Regions from separate parts of the Mus musculus genome. Here regions 2, 3, 4, 5 and 6 are each reported to be linked to region 1. The links are microRNA targets in miRTarBase. Many come from high-throughput screens and were not tested one by one. Region 1 holds a microRNA gene; each other region holds the end of a gene's coding sequence.

Region 1 (3,120 bases):
CCCTTCACAATGAACTCATACTCTGACGAAGGGAACAACATTGTTCACTTCATCCTAAAAGACATCCTAGGGTTGTTTGTGATTTGCCATGGCAGAGAGGTCCTGGTCTACTCAATGAGCCAGGAGGAACACTCCCAGCATGTCCGCCAAGTCCTGGTCCGCTTTCGGTATCACAACATCTACTGTTCACTGGACAAAACTCAGTTCCATCGCCAGACCGCTGAAATCTTGGGCTTCAACATATCCCCCAAAGGGGTGAAACTGAACAAGAACCTTATGAACCTCATCGTGGGGTGCCCTGTCCCTGGCAGCAGGAGGTGTCTTCAAAGTGTGATTGACCTTGTCTATCCCTATCGCCACTTCGTGGAGAACTTCGCTGTCATCGCAGCACCCCTAGTGAGACAACTGCTGAGTTCAGAGCCCTACTACTGGGGAGAAGAGGAGCAGGAGGCCTTGGAATCCCTGAAGAGGGCTTTCCGCAAGTCGCCCGTTCTCTATCACCCTAAGCCTCAGAACCCATTCTACTTGGAAACAGACATCACTGGGTCATTCCTGTCTGCCTCCCTGGTCCAAACCGACGACGAAACTGGCAAGAAATCTACCTGTGCTTTCTATTCAAGACCCCTCTCTACAATGGAGGTGGAGTACCCTCGAGTGGAGATGAGGATCCTTCCAATCCGGGCTGCCTTCATGGTGTGGTGCCGCTACCTGGAGAACACCGAGGAGCCCATCATGATCCTTCTCAACACAGAGGATCTAGCCTCTCTGAATAATGACAGGCTCACCGTACTTCTCCCCGGGCATTGGGTCTTCTTCTTCTCACACTTCAATTTTGGTGTTATGGAGATGCCAGCTGAAGGTGACACACAAGCACTCTTCCGCAGATGTTGGAACCAGAGAGGCTTCAGAGCAAGGTTTCTGCGCCCACTGCTGCTTATGTCCATTAGGGCAAATCTAAGGTACTTTGACAGATCCTCTGAGACTGAGGATAAAGAGGATGATGAAGAAGAGGAGGAGGAAGATGGTGAAGAAGAAGAAGGGGAGGAGGAGGAAGATGGTGAAGAAGAAGAAGGGGAGGAGGAGGAAGATGGTGAAGAAGAAGAGGAGGAGGAGGAAGATGATGAAGAAGAAGAAGGGGAGGAGGAGGAAGATGGTGAAGAAGAAGAAGGGGAGGAGGAGGAAGATGGTGAAGAAGAAGAAGGGGAGGAGGAGGAAGATGGTGAAGAAGAAGAAGGGGAGGAGGAGGGAGAGGAGGAGGAAGAAGGAGAGGAGGAAGAGGAGGAAGAAGAGGATGAGGAGGAAGAGGAGGAGGAAGAGGAAGAGGAGGAAGAAGAGGAGGAAGAAGAGGAGGAGGAGGAAGAGGAGGAAGAAGAGGAGGAGGAAGATGAGGAAGAAGAGGATGAGGAGGAAGAAGATGAGGAGGTGCCCAGCATGGTGCGGGAGCTACTGGCTGCCATCCCGATGGACCATATCCTCAATGGCTTACTGGCTCACTTCAGTGTGGCCCAGATCCGGGCCGTTGTCCTAAACTTCTTCCGTGGCCTGCTCTACTGGAAGAGTCTCCTGGGTGTGGCAGCTGTCCTGGTGATGTTGAGAGCAAGGCAGCCCCTCTCCCCAGTGCCTGCCCCTAATTTGGAAGTGGCCAGGCCTCAGCACCGGCACACACTCCGACTCATCCTGGACTCGACCCTCATTGCGAGTAGTGGCATGGCCACAGCCATCGCTCAGTTGCTCAGCCAGATGCCCCCTCTAGTGGGTGCCAACACCCTCCCAGCTCGAGAGCTGGCTGAGCTTTTCCTGGGCCCAAGGTGCTGGCATCGGAATGCTCTGCATTCCCAGCCTCCACGGGGGATGCGCTTCACCCCTGGGTTCTGGTTGACCCTGTGTGAGTTCTTTGGGGTCAGAGTCAACCCTGAGGATGACGTCTTTCCTGACCCTTACCAGCACCGGTACTTGGAACTGCACGTCGTTGGGGATGAAGATGTCGTCTTGCGAGAAGCCCTGCAAGACGACCTGCAACGTTACCGTCAGTGTGGCCTGCATGACGGCCTGCAAGACACCTCGCAGGACGCGCAGGACAACGACGTGCAAGAGGACCTGTTTGGCGACCAGGAAGCGGTCACCTTCAGACCACGAAATCTTTTGGACCCAGAGGTCCTAGATTTCCTCAACAACCGGCTACTCTACACCCTGGGCACCGATGGCCGCCTTACTCTGCTTAGCAGAGATCAGGTGGCCCAGGCCCTCACACGATTCCTGGCCATGGCCTCCAGAATGGCGCTGCCTTCCCCAGCCAGGGAACAGGCAAGGCTAGAAGAGCTATCAGACTCAGATGATGAACTTGACTGAAAACACACCAAGTCACTGTCATTTTCCCTTGTGCCTCGGCCAGCTTCGCTCAGATCCAGCACACCCTCTTGCTACTCCTAACCCAAGGGGAACCCACTTGTGAAGGGCCACAACTTCATCAACCAGCAACATCATCTGTGCTAAAGAACTAGCCAACTATCAGCGTCCCAGAACCAGCCAAGACTGTGTAACCCTAACTGTCCTAACTGTCCGGGCCCCAGGCCCACAAAAGGGAGTGAGACCAATGAGGAGAGAGCAGTGATGAGCAACAGTGACCCCGTCACCCCAGGCCAGATGCAGAGCAGATACAGCAGGTGCAGCCAAGCAAGCAGATGCCAGTGACCCCACCACCACCCCCTGAGTGGCAGGCGGCCACCTGTGCATCCTGGGACACTGACCTTGGGTGCTCCACGGACTTCTACCTCTACACCGGTGCTCCGACTCCCCTGGACACGCCCCTACTCCCTCCCAGTCTCCCAAGGTGCTGTGGTTCCATGCTTTCCACAACCCCAGCCCACCCTGCAAGCAAGTCCACCCCCCCCCCCACAACCCACCCACCCACTACCGGTCTGGTCCGGCTCCATTGACACCTCATCTGACCCTGAACTCTGATCTTACCTGGGCAGAACTGCTCCAAGGAGCATTCGACGTACCAGTGTGACTTACCAGATGGACTGATCCACCCTGAAGGTCCCTGAGACTCAGAGGACCCAAGAAAGGGTGGTAGCAACCAAGTGGGGCTCCCTTTTCCCTCCCCAAATGGACATATGG
Region 2 (3,120 bases), not on the chromosome of region 1:
TCATTTTTAATGTTTGAGAATTTTGTTGTGCATATTAGTTTACAAGTTCTCCATACTCTTAAAAGTTGTTTTCAAGCCAGGATGTGGTGGCACATGCCTTTAATTCCAGTACTTGGGAGGCAGAGGCAGGCAGATTTCTGAGTTCAAGGCCAGCCTGGTCTACAAAGTGAGTTCCAGGACAGCCAGGGCTACACAGAGAAACCCTGTCTTGAAAAACCAAAAAAAAAAAAAAAAAAAACACCAAAAAAAAAAAACACCAAAACCAAAAAACAAACAAAAAAACAAACAAACAAACAAACAAACACGTTGTTTTCATAACTTTTCAACACCAGACTCAACAAGAAGGCCTTTAAGCTCTGCTAGTCTCCCCATTCTTCCTCGGACAGTGAGCACGTCCTCTACTCTCTTCCGTGTATTTTGTCCCTTGACCTGGGCTCTTGCTATTCAGGATGACTGTGCCCCAGCCTCCCCAGATGTTGGAACTGCACATGTAAGCTAACATGTCTGGAAAAGCATTGTTTCTTTCAACTGACATCCATGAAAAGACCTTAAATTCTTTTTTTTTTAATTTAATTTAATTTTAGTTTTTAAAGATTTATTTATTATTATATGTAAGTACACTGTAGCTGTCTTCAGACACACCAGAAGAGGGAGTCAGATCTTGTTACGGATGGTTGTGAGCCACCATGTGGTTGCTGGGATTTGAACTCTGGACCTTCGGAAGAGCAGTCGGGTGCTCCTAACCACTGAGCCATCTCACCAGCCCCCTTAAATTCTTTATTGAGAACTTATTCTTTATTTCTACTAAATATTTTAAACAAAAGTTAAAGGCAGAAAACATGTCAGACTTGAAGGTATATATATTTCATTATTTTTCCTTTGTTTTCTGCCATAAAATTCCAAGTCACTTTTGACATTTCCTGTTCTTCTCATATCCCATAACTTTATATTCGAATTACCACACAACGATATGTCTGCCTCTGTTCTTTGGTTATCCACATACGTGACACCTAATAAAATGTCTCTTACAGCCATTTGTTGCTGATACTTTGTTCGGGGAGACAAGCTGTGGCTCAGGCTACCGTGGAACTTGCTCTGTAGCTCAGGCTAATTTCAAAGTTACCATCCCGATTCTCTTGTCTCCTCCTTAAGTCCTGAGATTATAGGTAGAGGCCACCAATACTGGCCCCCATATTTATTTGTAATCCATAGTGGTTATCTACCAGTAACAACTGAATCTTTATTACAGAGAATTTGACACTCAATGTTATTGAGTGTCCTTAGAGATAAATATATCAATAATTTACAGCTAGCTGATAAATGCGCCACAAGATTGTTCCCTTTAATTTTATATTACTTCAAAATATACATATATACACTCACTGCACATATACTAAATTTAAATTACCCTGTGAAAATATAGATTAACTACAAGCACACATTCAGGGATTCACAGTTTGACAGTAATTTTATATGCAGGTAAAAAGGAGTGTGGTTTTACACCCCTAATTTACATAGCAAGCTGACATGTTTGAATATCCTTTGTAAAAGATTTTTTTTTCCGCATGAATCTTAGAAATGAGGAAATTGGAGACATAAACCCCAAGCTATGTCTATAGCAGTATAAGTCATTGTAATATTATCTTTACTAACAAAGGCCCCAACTCGCTTACTGTGTGCACAGAAAGTGGTATAAAAACGCTACATACAAACCACACAGCAACAAACTTACACAAGATTGGCACTGTCAGTGTTTCACTTTACAGATTTTGACCAAAGCCTCAGAATATTCTTCTCTGGAGCTTACCGAACAGTTACCAATATATAGCATATTTAACTCCACAAAAATAGAAATGGATGGGGAAGTGCTAAAAATATTTAAAATACACAAGAGAGCTATTTATAAATATGTATACACTTTAGCCATGTATTTTGCAGGGTTAAATTTACTAATAAGTGATCCAGAGTACACTATTCAGTCATAGAGAACCTAGGCTTTATTATAACTCCTAGGTACATTTATTAAAATGTACCTTGTATCCCTTTATCTCTTATATCCCTTGTATCCCTCCCTTGGAATGCCCCCATCTCCTAGGTATATGTTCTCACTCTTCTTGGGAAAAAATATGCTTGTTCTGCTTTAAAAAAAAAAAAATTAAAAGGTACTCAGGAAGCTGACGTTAGGAAGACCATTTGAACCCAGGAGTTCAAGGTCAGCCAGTGAAAACCTGCTTTCTACAGAGAAAGGAAAAAGGAACACTTGCAAATAACACATTGACCAGCTATCAAAATTCAAAAAAAAAAATACCTGTCCAACTGAATAAAGAACAAACTTACTAAAAAGAAACTAAATCTGCCTCTTAGTCTTAAAAACTTAGAAAGCCCCAGATTCAATCTCTAGCCTTACAAAGGAAACACAGATTCATCACTCATCAAATGGACCAAAACCGCTTCTTCTCCCATTCAGCTCAGAGATGCACAGCGGCTTCACAGCTGTGTTATGATGCTTACACTGAGCATGTGCAGTTGACCATAATGATGATGAGGATTTATGAAAATACTACTGGGTATGTGGCTGGTAAGCTTATACTGTTAGGATCGATCAGTCACAATGACACACGGGTACAGGTGGCCTTCTGTGTGTTACCAGTTTCTTGATAAGCCCACTGACACTGCTGCATAGGAACTCCGAGTCTGAGCTGTCGATCAGGCCCATCTCCCACTGGAGGCAAAGCTTCTGCTGAATGAGAAGGTAATTTCAGAGTTCTTGTATTTTCCCCAAGCACCAAAGGGCACCACTACTGCAGTGCTGTTGTCTTCGGTACCGTACTGTATTGCCTGCAGGAGTGGGGAAGAAGAGACAGGCGCTGGAGTCAAGGGACCTTGTGCAATCACACAGCATCCTTTCTCTGGAAGGCCAACTGGTTCTACACACACTTTACGATACAAATGTAACTACCTAACAAGGTTTGGAATGGTTTCACCCTGTAACCATGTGCCATATGGTTATTAAGTGCATATGAATTTCAGATGGTTCAACTATATCCTATGCTCCACTGTAGCAATCTTGGCAATAGAAATTACCTGTGCTCCCAGTGAGGACACACCCAAAGCCCTTAG
Region 3 (3,112 bases), not on the chromosome of region 1:
TAATTAAAAAATATACTTTAATCCCAATACGGGGCGTGAAGGTGCATGCCTTTAATCCCAGGGCTCAGGAGGCAGAGGCAGGAGGATTTCTGGGAGTCTAGGCGGCCATTACCTGCGAGGCAAATTCCGGGCAGCCAAATCTACACGAGACCCTGTCTCAAAAATATATTAGGCAGATCTGCTACTGTCCATGTTAGCATGAAACGTAAGCCCTGCAGGAGATGGATTTAGGGTCGGAGCAGGACGCAAGGGCTGGGGGTGACTGATGCACCCAGTAGCACGGCCTCTTCAACATTTATTTTGGCCTCTTTGGAAGGCAATGGGGTGCAGGGCTCCCAAGCTGCATCCACGGCGAGCAAGGCCTTCTGCAGGTAGACATGATCACAGGAAGGCCATGGGAACATTTTGTAGCCACTAGGTGTGTAGTTCAACAGAACCAGAAACCTCAGTGTGAGGGCCCTTTAAGAGGCGAAGGGGAGGTGCCATAAACCCCGCCCCGGCCCCGCGAACGGAACAGTGTCTGTGTAGCACTGCGCGTGCGCTATCCGCACGCGGTTCCGGGTTCGTAGATCTGCAGAGCCGCTGGGGCTCGGTTGGTTTAGAAAGCTGCTTTTAGTGTTCCTCCGGTTCCCAGATCGCCCACCTTGTCATATAGAGGTGGCCGGGGGTAGGGAGTGTGGCCGCTAGATCAAGTTGGGAGTGGCAGCGCCGGGCTTCGAACTCGCGTTCCGCGAGTCATCCTAGAACTGTGATGACTCAGTCTTTGGTTTGTCCGGACACTGTGAGCAGGTGAGACTCAGTGTAGATCTGGGCGCGGGGGCGGAAGAACTGGGAGCTGAGTTGTGGAGACGAGGCCCAGATGGCAGCTAGCTGGGGTCCAGAATCAGGAACCTGGAGCAGCCTGGGGGCGGAGCCAGGTGGTAGAGTCCCGTGGTTTAAGTGGTGTGTTGCCTGGTGCATCTGTTCCCTGGCTGGGGGTGCGGTCTGGTAGTTAAGTTCCTGGCTGTTGGTAGCAGAGTTCTTGGGTGTGGGGCCGGCCGGCCTGGTGGGTGGCTCACAGCAAGGATGTCCAAGTGTTGAGGCCCCTAACCTGGTCCTGTCCTGCAGGGTCAGTTCTGTGCTCAATCGCAACAGCCGGCAATTTGGAAAGAAACATCTTTTTGACCAGGATGAAGAGACGTGCTGGAACTCTGACCAGGTGAGGTGCTTCTATACCCCTTCATTCCAAGTGTAGGGGTGTAGAAGATGCAAGGTTACAGGGTGCCTTGAGATCTCTGGGGAGACTAGAAAGCACAGTGTGCTTGTACCCTTCCTGTGCTGGCCGTGGCAGTGACACTTGAAAGATGAACAGACAAAAAACAAACAAACAAAAAAGGCGGGCAGTGGTGGCACACGCCTTTAATCCCAGCACTTGGGAGGCAGAGGCAGGTGGATCTCTGAGTTCGAGGCCAGCCTGGTCTACAAAGTGAGTTCCAGGACAGCCAGAGCTACACAGAGAAACCCTGTCTTGGGGAAAAAAAAAAGAAAGAAAGATGAACAGAACATCATAGGGCCCTAACCTTGCAGTTACCAAGTGCCTCAGTTTATCCCTCTGCTTCCAGGGCCCCTCCCAGTGGGTGTCACTCGAGTTTCCCCAGTGTGTTCAGATCACACAGCTGCAGGTGCAGTTCCAGGGTGGCTTCTCCAGTCGCCACAGCTGCCTGGAAGGTACAAGAAAGCTGAGAGGTGGGGTGTCCACAGGGTTCCCTGGATTCTTAGCCCATTTCTCCATTGCAGGTTCACGGGGTGGGGAGGCACTCAGCAAGATTGTAGATTTCTACCCTGAGGACACCAATGCCCTTCAGATATCCTGCCTGTCTTGTGGTGGGAGGGATCTGGTTTTCTACAAGCTTCAGGTCTTTGGGTGTGGTGGTAATGGCACTGGGGAGGCTGGGGCAGGAGGATCCAGAATGCCAGGCCAGCTTGGACCAGACCCTGTCTCAAAAGAATCAAAGCTTTGACCTCCTCCGCAGGAGTAGGAACTGCTTCTCTGTGCTTTAGTGCCCTGGAGGGGCAGCAGGAAGATCAGGAGTTCAAGGTCAGCCTCAACTACAGTTTGAGGCCAGCCTGGGTTACCTGAGACCCCCATATTTAAAAGAAAAAGAAAAAAAGGTGCTATTGATTTCTTGCTGGGTATGAGAATCAAGAGCCTTTAGTCAGTGGCCCATCGGGTGGTCTCTGGACTGGGAAGGTGGGGCCTGATGGGTCAGAGATAAAACCACCATTTCCTTGACTGCAAGAAGTCACACCTTCTCCATCCCCACAATGGAGGTGGACCGACTGAAGTTGACTTTTGAGGACACCACCGACTTTTTTGGCCGTGTAGTCATCTACCACCTGCGGGTGCTGGGTGAGAAGGCAGGGTGAGAAGCGGCTATTCTTCCAGGAAGCCCCCCTGGGAGGCACCCTGAAGACCTTCAAGTTCTGCACAGATTTATTGGTTCCTGTTGCGGAGGGCTCTTCCCACCACTGTCCAGGAGCTGCCTTTCAAGCCAGTTGTGGGCTGACTGTCCCTGAGTGCCTGGGTTCCCAGCAGGCTGTCTTCACTCGGGGTCCACAGGCCCCAGGGTGCTCTGGAACAATCTGAGGATGTGGCTCTCCATCACCTGTTGCACTGTGGGAGGAGGTGGGAGGAGGGGTGAGCTGGGGGAGCCGGGAAGAAGGGACTGAAGAAGATGCTCAGCCTCTGATGTAAACAGGAGGCCGTGAGCAGGAAACTGTCCAGCCAAGTGCTTTTCTGCTTTTCTGTTCTTGCTGGGCTGGGCTCACTACCTTGAGAATAGGTTGCTTTAAGGCAAGGTTTGCCTGTCTCCCTTCACTCCTGTATCCCACCCACCCTCCGAATTGTAGCTCTCTCTGCCTCCAGAACCATGAGTCCAAATAAAATGTTAAAAAAAACCAAACACCCCATTTGTGGTACTCTGTTACAGCAACAGGAATGGAAGTCTGGGATGCCCACCCCACCACCAAGAGGAACAATGTGTGGATGTGGGTGGAGGTGATAACCAAGACTACGCCCACCCTGGGCCTGGATGGTGCTGTTTGTATCTCCGAGTGTCTGTGTCCCCCAGAG
Region 4 (3,120 bases), not on the chromosome of region 1:
GGTGGCCGCAAGGCATCCATCCTGGAGCCTCTGACCCGGCCACGACCCCGAGACCTCGTCTACTCGCAGCTGTCCCCACAGTACCACAACCTGAGCTATTCATCCAGCCCCGAGTACACCTGCAGGGCATCCCCAAGCATCTGGGAGCGTCTCAGACTGAGCCGACGGAGACACAAGGATGATGCGGAGTTCATGGCGGCTGGCCACGCCCTGCGCAAGAAGGTTCAGTTTGCCAAAGACGAGGACCTGCATGACATCCTAGACTACTGGAAAGGCGTGTCTGCCCAGCACAAGTCCTGAACCTCCCTCCACCCTTTGGCAGGGCCCAAGGAAGCCTGGCCCTGTCCTCTCCGAAACTCGTGATGCCCATTGGACCAAAAAGGATAGACCACCCACAGCAGCTATCCCTGACTGAGACTTAACACTAAATCCAACATATGTGCACAACCAGGGGCCGCTGCATACAGCACCTGGCCCACAGGGACAGCTTGGGGAGGCCGCAGGTGGCCGAGACAGTAGATATACTAACTTCCATGTAAACTGTAATGTGCCTGCTGCCTGGTGCAAGCAAGCAAGACACACACACACACACACACACACACACACACACACTCACACACTCACATACTCACATACACTCACACATTCACACACTTACACTCACACATACATTCACACACACAAATGCACACACATGCATGTGCGCGTGCACACACAAACATTTGCACACACTCACACATGCACATGCACACACATGCACACATGGGACTTCGGAAAACTGTGTCTTACGGGTGGGGGTGGGGGAGGGGAAGTTTTTCCATTATCTTTCCTGTTTTGAGTCTTCTCTTCCTTTTCCTTCTTCTCTCTCTTTATTTTCTTCCTTTTTAAAAAATATATATATAAAAGTGAAAATCTTTAAAAAAAATAAAAGAGAGAGAAAGAAGAAAGAACTAAATCACCTAGCGTGGGGCATGTGACCAAGTCTAGCCAGCTTCATGGCACCCCCTAAATATGATCTCCCAGGCTGTGGAGTGCAGAGGGGTGGAGCATCTGGAGCCTGTGAGACTCTAGTGGGGAGGTGAAGACTGTGCCTGGGGACCAGTCAGGGTGGCAAGAGGGGTGCAGGCTGGGAAACATTGTGTGGTCCCTCCACCTCGACCCCATCTTTATTGTACACTGTAGCTGTTCTATTGTACAGAAAAAAAAATCTATATTTGCAAAGTTTGCTGTAAAATGAGAGAGAGAAAAAAAGACTATGTCTACTAAAAAAAATCTGCAAAGGAAAAAAAATCCAAATACATGTGTTCTGTGGGTTTTTACTGGGGTAGTAGTGGTGGTTCAGGGTCCCATTTAGGCAAGCAATTGTGGATCGTGGCTTTGATGGGCTCAGTGGGAGCCTATGGGAAAAGTTGTGGCTCACACTGGGCAAGGAAGTGTCCAGCCTCTTTGAGGGCAGGAACAAGTGTGAATGGGTCAGAAGCTAGAGGCAGGAGGAGGCTGAGGAGGGTGTGGCTATGCCAGGGCCTGTGTGCAGACCTAGTAGCTGAGGGGTGGGGACAAACAGGGACAAACAGGGGCTCCTCTGAACATGGTGGTCATGGTGGAATTGGTTAGGGTGCAATGGTTACAGGGTGTGTCTGTGTGCCCTTCTATACCCAGAGCACCGCCCACATGGAGACGCCTCCTTTCCCTACAACACAAAGCCAGCCTTCATTCTCCCACCACCAGCCCTTGCCTCTCACCCCATTCTCTCTCATGTGGCCTTCTCTGGGTGGTCCCATCCACGGGGGGTGTGGGGGGAGGTGAGTAGCTTTGGTCTTTCTAGAACTGATAGAAGTAAGTCCTGCTCCGAGGCTAACCTCAGTACTTCCTGTTACTGAGACTGCAGTCACCTGTTATCAAGAACATACACCATCTACGTCCCTCTAGCCCAGTGCTGTGATCACCACACCCAAGGCTGGTATCTTCCAGAGAGGTTTAATGCTGTATTGGGAAGGTACACCTTGTTCCTTCATACCCATGGAACCCCGAGGCTATTCTCCCACCTGAGCAGCCAGGAGGCATGTCTCCCAACCAATGTTCCCAAACTGGTTTGAGGACCTTCCCCTCATTCCCCTTAAGGCCCTAGGACTGAGGGCTCCCCGCCCATGGAAAACAATTCCTAACATGGACTGCTGACAAAGACCTAGCAAGACACCGACATCCCGGATCCAAGGAGATGCCTGAAGAGTTGTGAAAAGAAGCAGGCTTCGGTGTCTGATGAGCTGTGGGGAAGGCCTAGATCCCAGTTTGGCTGGAGATGAGGGCAGAGAGGGTGGGGGAGACCTCCAGGGGCTGGGGGCAGCCGTGGATCAACAGCCTCTGCTTGCATACTCCTAGGAATGGGAGGTCATCTTCCCCTCCAACTTTAGCCACCTTCCTTAGATCCACACAGCTCCAGGGTCCAGTTTGGTCTCCTGGGTCCCCGGAGGGGAGCATAGAAGCCCACACAGAGCCCACACTGGATACCTAACCAAGGTACACTTGACAGGTACCTCGCCAGTATACCCTTTAAATGGGCCCCCTTCAAGAACTTCATGCCCTGTTCTTTCTTGTCTGGCCTAACAGGCCCCTCCCTGCTCTGTACCCTCCCAAATGGGGAGCCATAGGTGGTCCAGTATGGTCACACCCAGAGGGGAAATGTAGGCTCCAGAGCTGGTGATGGAGGCCCAGAGAGGGACAATTTTTCTGCTCAGGGGTACCTAGCCACTCAGTGGCCGCCATTCTGGTTACAGGACAAAAGAAGGTGGCCAGGCTTGCTCGATACATTCCCTGTCGCCAAGGAGACAAAATGGCTATTTATAGGGGGACCAGGACAGAGAGAACTGGCACCAAGATGGGGTTTGGTGGAAGAATCATAGGTCCAGAGAGGGGTGAGGGCAGAGAGGCAGGAGGCAGGAGGCAGGGGCAGGATGCTCAGCTGCTGGTGCTCAGGCAGTAGTGCCTACCTAGTCTCCCAGGGTCTCTCAGGGGTTGATGGAGTCAACTCTGAACTGAGTGTGAGCTGGTGACAGAAACCCACACAGCTTCATATCCTCATTAGAAGAGTTCCGAGTATGTTTGATGAGGGCTAGAAGAAGG
Region 5 (3,120 bases), not on the chromosome of region 1:
GGCCTTAAATATGCCATGCACGCACTCTATTAGGCTACATCCTGGCCCTGAACAATTATCTTCACCGTGTCTTCACAAAGCAAATATTTATGAAAACAAGTTTTTCTTCCTCTACCAAACCCTGGTAAAGCCTTCCTGCCCTTCTTAGGAAGTTTATTCTATTTCAGGGTAAAGACAGGCTTCTATTTTTGTCTCTCAATTTTACTATAGACTGTTTATGGCACATTTTTAAAAAGAATGCTACAGCAACAAAAATACTAGCAATTTTATCCCATTCAAGATAATTCACAGTGATCAGTGTCTTGTTTTCGATTTTACTTACATATTTCTGTAACTCATCTTCATGTCTTTCACCCTCCAGCATGAAGGGAGGGCAGGCTCCTCCACCGAACTCCTACTGAGGGCCTAGCAGAAGACCGACCTCAACCATCACAGAACCCAGAAAACAGGAGCCACCGTCTTTGTGCTTGATCCTACTGGGCGGCAGCGACTCAGCCCCCGTGGGTGGGAGAGAGCAAGGGTGCGAAGGGCAACTGCTCTGACTCACATGTCCTAACTCTTGGGGACTCCTGAGGTGAAACTGAAGGCTAAACGCTCAGGTGCCTCTGAAATTTTATTTAGCTATTCTTTATTATACACACACACACATACACACCCCTCGCATTTCGATCATATCCACTCTACCTTTCTCATACCCAAACTTCCCCAGACCCCTCCTCATCCCTCTCCAATTTTCCTATCTTCTTTTACTTTATAAGCCAGAGTCCAATCAGAACAGGCCTTGGCCTGGGAGGTAACCCAGTGGTGCAAAAGCAACTTAGAGATTGCACCACTGCAAACGGACTCTCCCTTCTCAAGCAATCATCAACTGTCAAAAGCTCCCAGCTGGAGGTGGGACCCTCTCAACCCCCACACCCCATCCATGACCCCAACCACTCTGGAATGCTGACTGGCTGGTTCATATATCGACAGCCACAGCTATAGTGAGCTTACGAGCACAAAGGCCCCCTCATGTCTAGAGACTTGCAGCATCTTCCCTGGTCTCTGCTCTCAATCTCTCTGCCTCCTCTTCCTTCGGGGGTTAGGGATGATGGAGATGTCCCATTTGGTGGTGGTGGTGGGATGGGGTTTACCGTTCCTTGATGTAGTACCAAACAGTGTATCTTAAGGATCCTTTTGTATGCACAGCACACTGCTAAGAGCTAGGTGCCAGATTCATCCAACATCCTAATCAGTCCATGTCTTAGTGATGCTGATGTATTCAAACCCCAGGGTTCTAGTGGGTTGTACCCAAGAAATGGGAAGCCTAGATCCTAACACAGAGCTTCGTTCCTTCTGGTTTCCACTTCCTTAGAGCACTTGGTAAAGTCAACTAACAAATGAGAAAGAGACGGTTGCAATGAGTGATGTTTGCACACAGTGCAGTGTGACTCTGAGCATCTGGGATGCTGTCAGATTTTATAACCCACATCACCTCTACGCCTTCAAAGTGACCCCAATGCACAAAGGACGTTTTGTGCTATAACATTTAAGTGGATAATAGCAGTTATGATCAACTTTTATTGGTGTTTTTTTTTTTTGCACAAATAGCCATTAGAATAACTTTATAAAAACATATCTTCTCCCTCCACAAATATACTTAGCTTACAACAACCACCTTTATGTTTTGTTTTGTTCATTTGCAGAAGAGAGGGAAGAAATAGAAGATGAGGTTTAAAAGTGTACCTCAGGTAGATTTAAGTACTTGGCAATTATTCCCTTCATTAAAAAAAAGTCAGCTTTGTAACTGAGAAATACATCAAAAGTGTGTCCACTTGATTAAAAAAAGATGTCACTGGGTGCCACAAGTTTATACCTAGCATTATCCAGATTCATGTCTGTAGGGTTATTAAACAGTGGTTTTAAATGACACACTTCAAGCTGGGCAGTGGTGGTGCACACCTCTGATCCCAGCAAGGGCAGGCAGATCTCTGAGTTCGAGGCCAGCCCAGTCTACAGAGTTCCAGGACAGCCAGGGCTACACAGAGAAACCCTGTCTTGAAAAACCAAAAAAAGAAAAAAGAAAAAAAAATGACACTCACCAAGATCTTCAGTTAAATAATCTCCTATCTAGACTGAATTATGGAAGAGCTGACATTTAAAAAAAATACCATTTATTTATTCATTTATTAAAATCTGATAATGCCCCAGAGAGTAAGGTGCCTCTGTATAGGAAGTACAATCTTATTACATCAGCCATTAAGCAAATCCTATCCACTGCCACTCACGTATCAGCTTGCTTGGACTGATATTCCTATTTGAATGAAGTCCTGCAACTCCCCAGCACTTCGGTGGAGCCAGCCGCTCCCGGGACAGGACCATCTTCATCGTTAGGGTTTCCTGGTTAGTCTCAGTAGCGTTTAGCACAATGGTACTTTTTTTCCTTAATGAGTATGCATGGACTAAGGCAAAAGGACACAGACCAGCTTCTTGAGTAGCTTATTTTCTATCGTATTTAAAGATGCTTCAGAGCTGTACAGGCTGCAGGTCAGCCGGCTGAAAAGACAAGTTGTTCCTGGACCAATGTCGGACAATTAACCAAGCGATTACAATGCTCCCGGTGTCTTCCCGCTGTTTACTGTCAGGACCATCCCTCAGCATGACACTCAAGCAATGCTGACATTCCAATGGCACCACTTATTTGCTAGGTATCTTGACTGTGTAGATTATTTTCTTATTTAAAATAGTTAATAACTGGGCAATAATCTACTTATTCTTTGTAAACTCTCCATTGCCTACTTTTTTGCCTTTACAGCCGTTTTCTGCAAAGCTGTTAGATTCTTTTTCTGTCATGTTCTTCACGTAACTATGTGGTCCTTTCCCTTCAAAAGAGGAAGGATGTTTAAAAGAGCCTCCAATTCTATCCCACAATGTGAAATACTGTCCATAGTTATAGTCAAAGAACATGTGGTGGTCTGTGTGGTGAGCTGACCCGTTAATAAATGGCCTTAAGATCTGGGGAACCCGAAAATCACCATCATGAATAGAAATTGTCCAGACATTAACCAAGACATATAAACCTAAGTAGACCACCTTGTGCAGTGGAAAGACAAAGGGGTATATATGGTAAGGCAGACTCTG
Region 6 (3,118 bases), not on the chromosome of region 1:
GACTAAAGTAATTTATGTCTCTGTCCCCAGGGCAAGCAAGCACTAGGTAAGCATTTACAGACCCGATTTGAATTCAGCAGCCTTTGAGATGCATTTGACCGAAAAGCATTTCTCACTAAATTAACTATTTTCCAAAACACACACCCCCTCACCCAATGAATATATTACCTTATCTCCAAGGACCAGCCTGGGGTCTATTTTTTTTTTTTTTTTCATTTGAGACAAGGTCTTGTTATATAGGCAAGGCTTTCCTGAAAATTACTATTTAGCCCCTGTTCTCCTCAAACTCACGGCAATCCTCCTGGCTCAGCATCCCATGTGCTGGGTTTACAGATGTATGCCATTACACTTGACTCCATCATATATATACTTTCAAAACTATTTTTTTCATTTTGCTTTAGAAAAATAGCATGCTCCTGTTTGCATGGGAATACTTAGTATCTTGGAAACAGAAATGCTGGTTTGAGTCCAATTAGTAATGTTTGATGCTGCCTTCATGACAGCATATGTATGTATGTATGTATGTATGTATGTATGTATGTATGTATACCCACAAATCAACAGTTACAGTCTTCAATAAACAGGGGCAAAATAAATGCATGTCAGGCACAAGGACTCAAGCATCTTTGGCTGTCAGGAAATTCCTGTCTTGGATAAATTCCCAAGCCATCCAGATCACTTCTGGGCAGCTTTGAAGGCCCTTGACACAAAGCTTGGGTTTAGTAGAGGGGATGACCAGGTCACTCTGGCTACTTTTGGGCAAGTGTTTTCCTATAAGTCTATGTTGCTCAATATTCTCATGTTCCATGAAGATATATGCAGGCAGAGAGAGCATCTCACTCTCCTTTCTGACCTTGGAGTCAGACTGGAGTCATTGATAAAGCATCCTCAATTGACCAGTGAGCATTACTCTCAAGGTTTTAGACCTAAGCCAAAAAATAAGTCCTTCTTCTGAGACAGCCCTTCCTCCAGGTCACCTCAGGCTGCTCATCTTCTTTCAGGTGTGGTTTCCCCTATGAAGAACCAGGGGAAGGCGACCTCACCTTTCCCTGTGTTCTCACTGAGACCTGTGATACTTCAAGAAGTTGAAGACAGAAAAAGTGGCCAATGTAAGTTGGCTTAGCAGAAGCTAGATAGTATACAACTTAGGTTTAGTAGGCAGTGGAGATGAATTTTCTAACAAATTATTACTCAACAAATTTTGATCAGCTACTACTTTCCCAGTCATTGTGTGGGAGTCACGCTGCCCAGCTCTGCTTCGAAGGTTTCCTAGAAGATGGCTCAGCAGTGGTTTGGGGCTAAGTTTACCCTCTGACTCCTTGTGGCATCTACCATGACACGAGCATTTGTAATAGAGACTATATAAAGGCTGCAAACCAAACTTGAAAGCAGATCTAGATAAACACCTCTGGATTTGATGACTGACACTTTGTTGTTGGTCTTCATAGTACATTGACTCCTGGCATGAATCAAGTGTTTCTACAGTGCTCCATTTCACTTGATGTCTGTCTTTAAATTCCTTCAGTGTCTCTATCAGCTGGTTAGCCTATACTGGACAACGATGGAGACAACATTCTCAGGAATGCTGTCTTTCAGGACTTGAAATTTTTCTTTAAAATTTTGTTTTTGTTTTTGTTTTACACTTATTTATTTAGTTACATGTGTGCATGCCACATCATTTGTATGGGGGTTTGAGGATAATTTGTGGGAACCAATTCTCTCCTTCCAGCTTTTGGGTTCTGGGAGGTCAAACCCAGGTGTCAGGCTTAATGACAAGCACCTTTACCCAAGAAACCACCTAGATGGCTGACTTGAAGTTATACTTTGGAAGTTATACATTTTGAGTGGTAGTTGATCAGGAAGTATGTATTGAGGATTCATTTAGTTTTTAAGAAAATTTGACTTTCTCTTCATGGTCCTGTGGGCTGAGTGCCCAGAGCATAGTAGGTACTCAATAAACATGTTCTCACAATAATAAAAGTGTTCTATGTTCCATGTGCATTTGGAATTCCCACTTGTATGTTTGGATACTAAAGGATGCAATCAGAAGAAAGGTGAGGTTTCTCCTTCACAGCAGAAAACCAATTCCTTTTAGGGAATATTCACGAGAAATACCATTTTTTCTTTTTTCTTGTCTTGTCTTGTCTTTTCTTGTCCCTTCCTTCCTTCCTTCCTTCCTTCCTTCCTTCCTTCCTTCCTTCCTTCCTTCCTTCCTTCCTTCCTTCCTTTCTTCTTTCTTATTTTTTAGGTTAGGCACAAAAGAATGTGGAAATGCATTGCCTCTTGGAGAAATAACATCATTTTCTCAGTCTTTCTTTGGATTCTGTCTTTAGCTCTTGATCTGGAGTAAGTTCATTGTCGAATTCAGCTCTAACTGAACTGCTGAATTCAGAAAGGACTTGGACAGAGGGCACTGTGGAAAGGTTCTGTCCTGAAATCAGTAGATTGTGCCATTGGATGAGGCGTGTTTCAATTTTTAAAACCCAGCAGGTCTCTATCAAACATGAGCTGTACTGGGTTTTCCATTTACTATTTTAGTCCATAAGGCATATACGGATCAATATTGGGTTCCTAAATTATATAGCTAAACCACTGTCCCCTTCCCTGATCCCTCTAAAGCCCCTGTTTATAGATCCATATGAGAAAAGGAAATTGGAAAGTAGGAGGCAGGGGAGCCCCTTGGAATGATGGTTTTCTCCTCCTTATAGCAAGAAAGCTCCAAAGAAAGTTTTATCTTCTTTTGTGTAATCCACCAAGGAGATGTCACTGACGTTTACCATTAGTCTGTCTCCTTCTTCCAAGGAGAACGTGGCCCCAAGGTAGAGGGACTGGAACCAGTTGTTGCTTATTTCACACACAGACTTGGACCCTGTTAGTAGGCGGGCAGGCTCAGGGTAGCTGTCTGCTACCTTGGTGATAACCATGGTGATGGAGTCTGGCTTGTTTGGTCGTCTCCCCCGACTGATGTCACCACACACAGATGTGGTCCCTCGGAATGTGATCTGGGAGTAGATGAAATAGTCTCCTGACTCTGGGATCACCAGGGATTTGTTGATGTACTTCATCCCGTTCTTGGTGAAGGCCATCCCTAGGTCATGTTCCCAGTGTAGAGCAGAGA

The links. Region 1 holds the annotated microRNA mmu-miR-431-5p (UGUCUUGCAGGCCGUCAUGCA, at 2,039-2,059, opposite strand). A microRNA usually pairs through its seed, bases 2 to 8, with sites in the 3' UTR of a target mRNA and lowers its output. Matches are read on the target gene's strand: a 7mer-m8 pairs with bases 2 to 8, a 7mer-A1 pairs with bases 2 to 7 and ends in A, and an 8mer does both.
Region 2: miRTarBase lists Ppm1k as a target of mmu-miR-431-5p. Seed matches in the 3' UTR shown: 7mer-A1 at 205-211.
Region 3: miRTarBase lists Rfxank as a target of mmu-miR-431-5p. Seed matches in the 3' UTR shown: 7mer-A1 at 1,855-1,861 and 7mer-A1 at 1,504-1,510.
Region 4: the mRNA of Elfn1 is a reported target of mmu-miR-431-5p. Seed matches in the 3' UTR shown: 8mer at 572-579.
Region 5: the mRNA of Sc5d is a reported target of mmu-miR-431-5p. Seed matches in the 3' UTR shown: 7mer-A1 at 2,034-2,040.
Region 6: the mRNA of Tnfsf15 is a reported target of mmu-miR-431-5p. Seed matches in the 3' UTR shown: 7mer-A1 at 2,138-2,144, 7mer-A1 at 2,133-2,139 and 7mer-A1 at 646-652.

What each region holds. Positions count from the first base shown.
Region 1 is chr12:109,589,398-109,592,517 of GRCm38, reverse strand. It overlaps Mir431 (microRNA 431), which reads right to left and starts at 2,071; the gene lies at 1,981-2,071. Rtl1 (retrotransposon Gaglike 1) reads left to right here. Exons shown (of 2, transcript NM_184109.2): 2 at 1-3,120. The coding sequence ends at 2,349. 6430411K18Rik (RIKEN cDNA 6430411K18 gen) reads right to left here and starts at 981. Exons shown (of 1, transcript NR_002848.3): 1 at 1-981. It overlaps Mir433 (microRNA 433), which reads right to left and starts at 803; the gene lies at 680-803.
Region 2 is chr6:57,508,012-57,511,131 of GRCm38, forward strand. It overlaps Ppm1k (protein phosphatase 1K (PP2C domain containing)), which reads right to left. Exons shown (of 7, transcript NM_175523.5): 7 at 1-2,838. The coding sequence ends at 2,707. Among named protein-coding and RNA genes, the nearest start is that of Ppm1k, 26 kb to the right of the region's middle.
Region 3 is chr8:70,130,811-70,133,922 of GRCm38, forward strand. It overlaps Rfxank (regulatory factor X-associated ankyrin-containing protein), which reads right to left. Exons shown (of 9, transcript NM_011266.2): 9 at 1-2,653. The coding sequence ends at 2,583. Nr2c2ap (nuclear receptor 2C2-associated protein) reads left to right here and starts at 517. Exons shown (of 5, transcript NM_001025586.2): 1 at 517-789; 2 at 1,108-1,198; 3 at 1,602-1,707; 4 at 1,777-1,844; 5 at 2,287-2,942. The coding sequence starts at 752. The coding sequence ends at 2,406.
Region 4 is chr5:139,973,430-139,976,549 of GRCm38, forward strand. It overlaps Elfn1 (leucine rich repeat and fibronectin type III, extracellular 1), which reads left to right. Exons shown (of 2, transcript NM_001384186.1): 2 at 1-1,296. The coding sequence ends at 300. Among named protein-coding and RNA genes, the nearest start is that of Elfn1, 67 kb to the left of the region's middle.
Region 5 is chr9:42,252,597-42,255,716 of GRCm38, forward strand. It overlaps Sc5d (sterol-C5-desaturase), which reads right to left. Exons shown (of 6, transcript NM_172769.2): 6 at 1,581-3,120. The coding sequence ends at 2,746. Among named protein-coding and RNA genes, the nearest start is that of Sc5d, 10 kb to the right of the region's middle.
Region 6 is chr4:63,726,887-63,730,004 of GRCm38, forward strand. It overlaps Tnfsf15 (tumor necrosis factor (ligand) superfamily, member 15), which reads right to left. Exons shown (of 4, transcript NM_177371.4): 4 at 1-3,118. The coding sequence ends at 2,703. All of the region lies in intron 1 of Gm42294 (a long non-coding RNA gene), which reads left to right. Among named protein-coding and RNA genes, the nearest start is that of Tnfsf15, 17 kb to the right of the region's middle.